3 linked regions of the Saccharomyces cerevisiae S288C genome follow. The gene in region 3 interacts genetically with the main gene of each other region. Each region holds a gene or a part of one and is shown on either strand. Other genes may lie near its edges. The genes, in order: LTE1, CTF8 and SLK19.

Region 1 (3,762 bases), on a different chromosome or scaffold from region 3:
GCAAGAATATTTGGTCTTATTATCGTCCCCTTCTGCATTTTCCTATTGTGCTTCAAAATACATTTTGACCTATTATCGCATTCTGGTACAGGTGATGCTAACATGCCATCTCTTTTCCAAGCAAGATTAGTGGGTTCTGACGTCGGACAAGGCCCCCGTGACATTGCTCTAGGTTCCTCCGTTGTTTCCATCAAAAACCAAGCTCTTGGAGGATCTCTATTGCACTCACATATACAAACTTATCCAGATGGGTCCAACCAACAACAAGTAACCTGTTATGGTTACAAAGATGCTAACAACGAATGGTTTTTCAACAGAGAAAGAGGCTTACCATCATGGTCAGAAAACGAAACTGACATCGAGTATTTGAAGCCAGGTACCTCCTATAGATTGGTACACAAAAGCACGGGCAGAAACTTGCACACCCACCCAGTTGCTGCACCAGTGTCAAAGACACAATGGGAGGTTTCTGGTTACGGTGACAATGTTGTTGGTGACAACAAAGACAATTGGGTTATTGAGATCATGGACCAAAGAGGAGATGAAGACCCTGAGAAGTTGCACACATTGACCACCTCTTTCCGTATCAAGAACTTGGAGATGGGCTGTTACTTGGCTCAAACCGGTAACAGTTTGCCCGAATGGGGTTTCAGACAACAAGAGGTTGTCTGCATGAAAAACCCATTCAAGAGGGACAAGAGGACCTGGTGGAACATCGAGACCCACGAAAATGAAAGGTTGCCACCAAGACCCGAAGATTTTCAATACCCAAAGACCAACTTCTTAAAAGACTTCATTCATTTAAATCTAGCCATGATGGCCACTAATAACGCTTTGGTGCCAGATCCAGACAAATTTGATTACTTAGCTTCCTCAGCATGGCAATGGCCAACTTTGAATGTGGGTTTGAGACTATGTGGCTGGGGTGATGATAATCCAAAATACTTCCTATTGGGTACCCCAGCTTCCACGTGGGCTTCTAGTGTTGCCGTCCTCGCATTCATGGCCACGGTCGTTATCTTACTGATCAGATGGCAAAGACAATATGTGGACCTAAGAAATCCATCTAACTGGAACGTTTTCTTAATGGGCGGGTTCTACCCACTACTAGCTTGGGGCCTACACTACATGCCATTCGTTATCATGTCTAGAGTCACCTACGTTCATCATTACTTGCCTGCCTTGTATTTTGCACTGATCATTTTGGCGTACTGTTTCGACGCCGGTTTGCAAAAATGGTCCAGATCTAAGTGCGGCCGTATCATGCGGTTCGTCCTATACGCCGGATTCATGGCACTTGTAATTGGTTGCTTCTGGTACTTCTCCCCAATATCATTTGGTATGGAGGGACCAAGTAGTAACTTCCGCTACTTAAACTGGTTTTCCACTTGGGACATTGCCGACAAGCAAGAAGCATGAATTAAGATCATCGTAGTAAGTACATAAGTAAAAAACAAGAATTAAATAAAATTTCTATATCAACCAGCAGAAGAAGTGGTCTATATAAACCACTATATAATGAATTTCGATAAACACTCTTTAATTGTTAACCAGGCTGTTCTCCTTACTCATCTTTGCGATCCGATGCTGTTTTATTACCCTTCTATTTTTTCCTTTCTGCATTTTGATTTTCGCGAATAATGAAATTCTTGATCTTTTTATCAACAATGAAAAAAAAACTGTAAACAGAAACTGATAATTTCTTGAACCCTTTAGCCCACCCCAACCGTACTCGTGTTATTCGCTCGTTGATTTACGCGAACCTTTTTGTTTGCTTTACATAGCCTCTAGCCATTCAAAGATTCGCTACCCTGAACCATGGAAATATTTAGCCAGAAAGATTACTACCCGACTCCATCCTCAAATGTTATTAGCTATGAAAGCGATTGTGTATCCAAACCAGTGAATAGTGCAGACCTGCCCGCGTTAATTGTACACCTTTCTTCCCCTTTGGAAGGTGTAGACTACAACGCATCTGCAGATTTTTTCCTTATTTATAGGAATTTTATAACGCCTCAAGACTTACACGACTTACTCATCTATAGATTTCGATGGTGTATTAGGGAGATCACAACAAATGCTGCAAAAGCTAAGAGAAGGCGAATTGGTGAAGTTGCCCTCGTGAGGACGTTTGTGTTGTTGAGGCATTCCATACTGAATTATTTTGTGCAAGATTTTTTACCGAACATAACATTAAGACTTCGGTTGATCGAGTTTCTAAACGACAAACACATTGAACAGTACCCAAAAATAATTTCCAGCTGTATAATCAATCTGAAAAAAAACTGGGTGCATTGTTCTAAGTTGGTTTGGGAGAATATTGAACTAAATGAACCTGATAAATTAGACTTTGATGCATGGCTGCATTATTCGTTAAAGGATTTCACGCAACTAGAAAGCCTACACAAAAGAGGAAGCCGACTGAGCATTTACGCCAGGCAAAGTTTTGCCAGTCCTGATTTTCGTAACCAAAGCGTTTTATCATTATATAAAACTTCTGATGTATTTAGACTGCCGGAGAAGCTACAGTCTTCAAATTCTTCCAAAAACCAGAGAAGCCCTTCTATGCTTTTATTTCCCGATAATACATCAAATGTTTACTCGAAGCACCGAATAGCGAAAGAACCTTCAGTTGATAATGAAAGCGAGGACATGTCAGATAGTAAACAAAAGATCAGCCACTTGTCAAAAGTCACTCTAGTATCCACACTAATGAAAGGCGTAGACTACCCGTCATCATATGCAGTCGATAAAATAATGCCTCCAACACCGGCTAAAAAAGTTGAATTTATTCTGAATTCCTTATATATTCCTGAAGATTTAAATGAACAAAGCGGAACGCTTCAAGGTACATCGACGACATCATCTCTAGATAACAATAGCAACAGTAATAGTAGATCTAATACATCTTCAATGTCTGTGTTACATCGCAGCGCTATTGGTCTTTTAGCTAAGTGGATGAAAAACCATAATCGCCATGATAGCAGTAATGATAAAAAATTTATGAGTGCTATTAAACCAGCAAACCAGAAACCTGAAATGGATGCGTTTGTCAAATACGTTGTATCAATATCATCTCTCAATAGAAAATCTTCCAAGGAAGAAGAGGAAGAGTTTCTTAACTCTGATTCTTCTAAATTTGACATCCTAAGTGCAAGAACCATAGATGAAGTGGAGTCCCTACTGCATTTACAAAACCAGCTGATAGAAAAAGTTCAAACACATTCGAATAACAACCGAGGTCCTACAGTTAATGTTGATTGTGAACGTCGGGAACACATACATGATATAAAGATTTTACAACAAAATAGCTTTAAACCGAGTAATGATAATTTTAGCGCTATGGACAATTTGGATCTGTATCAAACCGTAAGTTCAATTGCTCAGTCAGTCATCTCTTTAACTAATACTTTAAACAAGCAACTGCAGAACAATGAATCGAATATGCAGCCATCACCCTCGTATGATGCACTGCAACGAAGGAAAGTAAAAAGTCTCACGACAGCATATTACAATAAAATGCACGGTAGCTACTCAGCAGAAAGTATGAGGCTCTTTGATAAAGATAATAGTTCTTCACGTACAGACGAGAATGGACCTCAAAGATTGTTATTCCATGAAACTGATAAAACCAACTCAGAAGCGATTACAAATATGACACCAAGGAGGAAAAATCATTCCCAATCCCAAAAAAGCATGACTTCTTCGCCTCTGAAAAATGTTCTACCTGATCTTAAAGAATCGTCTCCCTTAAACGATAGT
Region 2 (2,808 bases), on a different chromosome or scaffold from region 3:
ATCTGGTCACAATACGCTCCTCAGTTGAAGGACTTCATGAAACCTGAAAACGAACAACTGGGGTTGGACTGTATAAACCACCTCGTCTTAAACGCATTGAGTCATGTTATCGATGTGTTGACTTATTTGGCCGGTATCCACGAGCAATCCACTTTCCAATTTTGTGCCATTCCCCAAGTTATGGCCATTGCAACCTTGGCTTTGGTATTCAACAACCGTGAAGTGCTACATGGCAATGTAAAGATTCGTAAGGGTACTACCTGCTATTTAATTTTGAAATCAAGGACTTTGCGTGGCTGTGTCGAGATTTTTGACTATTACTTACGTGATATCAAATCTAAATTGGCTGTGCAAGATCCAAATTTCTTAAAATTGAACATTCAAATCTCCAAGATCGAACAGTTTATGGAAGAAATGTACCAGGATAAATTACCTCCTAACGTGAAGCCAAATGAAACTCCAATTTTCTTGAAAGTTAAAGAAAGATCCAGATACGATGATGAATTGGTTCCAACCCAACAAGAAGAAGAGTACAAGTTCAATATGGTTTTATCTATCATCTTGTCCGTTCTTCTTGGGTTTTATTATATATACACTTTACACAGAGCGTGAAGTCTGCGCCAAATAACATAAACAAACAACTCCGAACAATAACTAAGTACTTACATAATAGGTAGAGGCCTATCCTTAAAGATAACCTTATATTTCATTACATCAACTAATTCGACCTTATTATCTTTCGAATTGAAATGCATTATACCCATCGGTACGTCTAGCTTTGTCACCTTCCCCAGTAAACGCTGTTTCTTGCCGACAAACAATGTGGCCCTCTCTCCGTCAATCTGTAACGACCCAAATCGTATTAAAGTTTCGCCGTCCTGTTCACTGAACCTTCCCTCATTTGGAGAATCTCTCCTCGCCAGCGACGCAAAGTCCTTAGGCAACTCTAGTTCACCTTGAATCTCCAGCATCATCATCCCAAGCGGTGTTATCACCGTGGTCTGCTTTTCTCTTGACTGTGTCAACTTCTGCCATTGACTAGCATCTATATCTACACTAGGCATTCTTTTCAGCTGTTTATTGGGCTGAATGATAGTGATAATTCTTTTTTCTATCACTCCTTTGGCTATATTAGTGGTTAGCTTACTAAAAAAGATTAAAGGAAAAATGAAATTCAAGATGCTAACGTTGACATGTATATTTTAAGAAAACAAAAATCATACAAAGAGGAGATCGGATATAAAAGAATAACATAAATATGTTTAGTGCATTAGGTAAATGGGTCCGAGGCTCTCGCAATGATAAGGACTTTGTGACGAAGTATACCGCAGATTTATCACAAATAACTTCACAGATCCATCAATTAGATGTCGCGTTAAAGAAAAGCCAATCCATCTTGAGTCAATGGCAATCAAATCTGACCTTTTATGGTATTGCGTTAACGGTATTGGCCCTGAGCTACACATATTGGGAGTACCATGGTTATCGACCATACCTTGTGGTGACTGCGCTACTATGCATAGGCTCGCTAATCTTGTTCAAATGGGCATTAACCAAACTCTATGCATTTTATAACAACAATAGGTTACGCAAGTTGGCAAAACTCCGTGCAATTCATCAAAAGAAACTGGAAAAGTTAAAGGAAGAGACCCACTATAATGCTACAAGCTCAATCATCCAACGGTTTTCTTCCGGTGAAGATCAAAACGACGATGCCATGGTACTTCTAGATGATGAATTAAATGCTAAATACCAAGAATTAAACAATCTAAAGACAGAGCTAGAAAAATTTAAGAAGGAAAGCCATGTAAAGGGCCTAAAGAAGGAAGACAGCGATGCATGGTTCGACAAAATCATCAGCGTACTGGCAGGCGGTAATGAATTGGACTCAACAAGTTCGCTCTCTCCCTTCAAAAAAATCATATGTCCACAGTGTCATTGGAAATCCAATTGCTACAGATTGGCCAGTAAGCCAATCATCTTTATCTGTCCTCACTGTAACCACAAAATAGACGAAGTAAAGGAAAGAGAAGACGCCATTGAAGCAAAACAACCGGCACAGCCTTCGCAGTCGGAGAAGGAAAAAACAAAATGATTTTGCGTTAGAATAACTACGTACCCCTATATAATATATTTTTATATCATTATTTAGACAAGGACATGATAGCGTTGACTAAGTCACCATTGTGAGCTTTCAGGGCTTTGATGGCTTGGTTTTTGGAAACGTTAGTTTGTTGAACGACTAACTCGATATCATCCTTATTCAAGTCACCGGCATCAACTTCACCTTCTTCGTCATCTTCTTCTGCTGCGGCGTTGACACTGCCTTCTGCGGCGGCTTGCATGTCAGCTTGGATGTCTTCTGGGGACTTGGTAGCGACGTCTTCGTTAGATGGCATAATACCGCTAGCTTGAGCTTGTTGTTGAGCAGCGGCTAGCTTTTGGGTAAAGTTGTCAACCTTAGCTTCACCGAAGACAACGTAGTTACCACCGGCAGATCTGAAGACTTCTGGCTTTTCAATAGCATAGATTTGGTTGTCCTTCTTCCTGAAAGTGACTCTGATGATACCTGGGATTTGCTTCAAACCCAATTTGCCAATCAATTCTCTGGCTTTCTTTTCGTTCTTGTTTAAGACGGTAACGTTGGCGTTTTCTGGGATAGCAGACATTATCAATTGAGTATGTGGGTGTGTGGTTGCTTGTAAGGGTTGCTCCCAGAAGGAGACTTTACCTTAGTTCTTGTTTAAAATAATCCTTTTCATTCAACTTTTTGTCATTTTTTTCTTCGGCGATGAAAAATTTTCAAAA
Region 3 (3,762 bases):
TGAAGTGATCTGTTTTTTTAGCTCGTCCATTTCACTATTCAATGAATCAATTTCAGCTTCTTTTAGTTTTAGCGTCTCCTCATTTTTAATTAATTTATCCTGTACTACCTTCAAATTATCGTCGTTCAGGTTATTCAAATCATCCATTTTTTGTTGCAAGTTGTTTTTTGTAGATATTAGCTCATTAATTTGTCCTATAAGGTCAGAGTCGTTGAAGTCCTTAGAAATCGATAAAGTTTCCTTCAAACTCAATTTTAAATTATCTAGTTCGTTCTCTTTAGATTTCAAAACAATATCTGTGCTTTCAATCTTATCATTCAGTTGCACAATGCGAGAATTCAAGTCATTTAACGTGGTCTCATATTCGGATAATTTATCATTATTGCCTTTCAATTCTGCTTTCATATTTTCCAGTTCTACATTTTTATCATTTAAAATTTTCTCATTTTGCTGCAAAGTGTTGACAGTATTTTCATGTTCGCCCTTTATATGATTTACTTCAGTAATTGAGGCATCGAATTTTTCTTGTAATATTTTTTGGTTGGAATTCAATACCTTAATTTCTGTATTCAACTCCTTAATCCTCTTTTTGAATTTTTCCACCTTGGCAATATCGCTCTCTCTTTCTGTATTTAGTTTATCTAACTTTTCATTTGTCAAATCTATTAGTAGTTGGTGATTTTTGTTCAATTTCTCGTATTGAAAAGACAATGATTCATTTTTGGAAATCAAAGAGTTTAACATTTGATTTAAGTGATATATCTGATCAGTGAGCTCCTCGTTTCTTTTTGCTACAATCTGAAAATTGTCATGTCTAATATCAAGTTGGTTGTCATCATCGTAGTCATTCCTCCCCTCTTCATTTGAGTTCGACTCCCTTGCAGAAGTCTCATACAAAGGAGTAAGCCTGTTTATATGAGAATTTGTTATATCATTTTCTTCGTCCTCCTTTTCCTTATAAGCATTGTCAATATTAACCACATTGTTACTGTTAGATTTTATGAAGTCTTCCTCTTGTTGTTTCTCATTTATATCATTTTCTAATTTAAGTGTGTCGGTATTGATATTGAAACTATCGTTTCTTTCAACTCCGTCGTTTATTATGAATTTATTTGGGCTTATGTTGGTCTCAATCATATCAATCGCCATTGGAGACGACATAATTTCTTCTTTGTCATTAATGATATCTTTAGTAGAGCTTTGTTTCAAATCAGGTACTGATTCTAACTGCAATTTCAATTTTTTATTAATATGGCTACCTTCTTTATCATTTTCATCTACGTCCACGTTTTTGTCGCTTCGTTTCTCTGAGGAGTTCATTTCAACTCTGATCGGTGAATAATTCAATGCAAGGACATGCTTATCACTAGTACTTGCGCCTCCTTTATCATCATTGGTACCTGAATCTGATTTTTTGTCATCAAACATTTTATTTATGTCTATATTCTCTAATGGATTGGCATTATTCTTGTTGTTAAGAGCTGATGACCTACCGTAATCAATCGAGCGGTCTAAATCCTGCTTCTCATCTTTCTCCTTCTCGAGCGGTTCATGAGGATGTATCACGAACTGGGAGGAACCAGGAGAGTTAAAGCTGGAATCCGGTTCGGAATTAAACGTGCGTGGGTTACGTTCTTGCGAACAGTTTTCTGAATTCTGCTCGCGTTGCTGAGCTTGCCCTAAAATAAGCCTAACTGGAGTGGTAGGAACTTCGTTCATGAATTACGATATGTGCTCAAAACCTTTTTTAACTGGGTGCCCCTTGACACCAATGATGCTCTTTTTAGTTAGTGTCCTTCAAATGAACCATTAAAGAGGAACTCATCGTACACTCTGAATTATAAATAAATAAATAAAGAATATAAATTAACGCGAAAAAAAGCTTCGTCAAGTATGATGTGAGACAGTTGAAGAAAAGATGAAGAAGCCAAATAACAAGGTGGATAAAGCCATACGGCATATTATCGGGGGCAAGCTCAAAGAAGAAAAGCGATAGTATCACACAAATCAAGGCCATACACAAGGGACATCGTTGGATATCATGTCGAATGCAGAGGCCAGCAGAGTGTACGAGATTATCGTAGAGTCTGTGGTAAATGAAGTAAGAGAGGACTTTGAAAATGCGGGTATCGATGAACAAACTTTACAAGACCTAAAAAATATTTGGCAAAAAAAGCTCACAGAGACGAAGGTAACTACTTTTTCATGGGACAATCAGTTCAATGAAGGAAATATCAATGGTGTACAGAACGACTTAAATTTCAATCTTGCTACCCCCGGCGTAAATTCTAGCGAGTTCAATATTAAGGAGGAGAATACCGGTAATGAAGGTCTAATTTTGCCAAATATCAATTCCAACAACAACATACCGCACTCTGGAGAGACCAATATTAATACGAATACGGTAGAAGCAACTAATAATTCAGGTGCTACCTTGAACACAAATACTAGTGGTAATACAAATGCGGACGTAACTAGCCAGCCTAAAATTGAAGTAAAACCGGAAATAGAACTTACTATTAATAATGCCAATATAACTACCGTCGAAAACATAGATGATGAAAGTGAGAAGAAAGACGACGAGGAAAAGGAGGAGGACGTGGAAAAAACCCGCAAGGAAAAGGAGCAGATAGAACAAGTAAAATTACAAGCGAAGAAGGAAAAAAGAAGTGCATTATTAGATACGGATGAGGTCGGTTCAGAACTAGATGATTCCGACGATGACTATCTAATTTCGGAGGGTGAAGAGGATGGGCCAGATGAGAACTTAATGCTGTGCTTATATGATAAAGTCACAAGAACAAAGGCGAGATGGAAATGTAGTCTGAAAGATGGTGTGGTGACCATCAATAGAAATGACTACACATTCCAAAAAGCTCAAGTGGAAGCGGAGTGGGTATAACTAAATCTTTAGACGTAAAGAAGAAAAAATGTATATATACAAGTACTATAATATCAAACTAAAAAAACGAAATAAAGAGGGATGCAACGAACTTGGTCATCTGTTGTCAAACAGCGCTTGTATGTTCATTAGCCGAAGTGACTTTGGCTCGGTTCCATAGCTTAAGGAGTTCAGTAACACCGGAACCTACTGAAATTATTTCGTAAGCTAGCTCTGAGTTATATTTGTCCCTTTTACCTTTAATATTAATTAGATTAGACAATAAGTTTAGTATTATCTTATAAAAATCCAATGTAATATTATTTTTCCGTAACTCCAAATTGACTTTGTCATTGGTAGGTAGTTTGTACTTTAACTCGTATTCCTTTATTGCATTACCACTGGTATTATAGATACTTAAATAAATTTCATCTCTTATTAGCTGTCGCCATTGTTCAATGTTTTTATTGATAGCAAGAATATTTAAAACTTCCCATAAGATATAGTGCTGTTCTTTGACGAATGTCATTAGTCTATTAGTATTTGCATGTGATGTGTTCTTTTTACCAAACATTGATTGTAGCTTATGGAACAGTATCAACTCATCTGTCAAATTATAAAAAGCTTCAATAATGTCGAAAAACCGGAAATTTTTAAAATAAAATAAAATTGATTGATCTTTATAATGTAGTTTTTTCATTTCTCTCAACCAGCGAAATCTTTTGATAATTTTATATAAATTGATCGCAAAGTTTCCGAATCTCAAATAGTACCGAAATAAACTCAATTGTTGAATCACCAATCGCAGTTTTGAGGAAAAATTTAGTAGTCGTATCTTTCTCGTCAATAGCAATAAACTTAATAGGCCTAGGGTATGTTGT

What was found.
Region 1: mutations in SLK19 (region 3) and LTE1 are lethal when combined (synthetic lethality), as found in Saccharomyces cerevisiae (8 studies listed by BioGRID, with this or other methods).
Region 2: mutations in SLK19 (region 3) and CTF8 impair growth when combined (synthetic growth defect), as found in Saccharomyces cerevisiae (7 studies listed by BioGRID, with this or other methods).

Annotation. Positions count from the first base shown.
Region 1 is NC_001133.9:103,929-107,690, reverse strand, and holds the start of LTE1 (mitotic regulator LTE1), read left to right. Parts: upstream 1-1,818; coding exon 1,819-3,762. Other genes in the region: dolichyl-phosphate-mannose-protein mannosyltransferase PMT2, read left to right, coding at 1-1,419. UniProt on the Saccharomyces cerevisiae protein: GDP-GTP exchange factor for TEM1, a Ras-like protein, component of the mitotic exit network (MEN).
Region 2 is NC_001140.6:485,568-488,375, forward strand, and holds CTF8 (Ctf8p), read right to left. Parts: upstream 1,065-2,808; coding exon 663-1,064; downstream 1-662. Other genes in the region: ERG9 (bifunctional farnesyl-diphosphate farnesyltransferase/squalene synthase), read left to right, coding at 1-612; LNP1 (Lnp1p), read left to right, coding at 1,259-2,095; EGD2 (Egd2p), read right to left, coding at 2,145-2,669. UniProt on the Saccharomyces cerevisiae protein: Essential for the fidelity of chromosome transmission. Required for the DNA replication block checkpoint.
Region 3 is NC_001147.6:710,823-714,584, reverse strand, and holds the start of SLK19 (Slk19p), read right to left. Parts: upstream 1,720-3,762; coding exon 1-1,719. Other genes in the region: TOA1 (transcription initiation factor IIA large subunit), read left to right, coding at 2,042-2,902; PEX27 (Pex27p), read right to left, coding at 3,009-3,762. UniProt on the Saccharomyces cerevisiae protein: Has a role in spindle assembly and stability. Required to ensure a timely exit form mitosis. Essential to maintain pre-anaphase spindle polarity. Associates to the plus ends of the microtubules at the kinetochore and spindle midzone.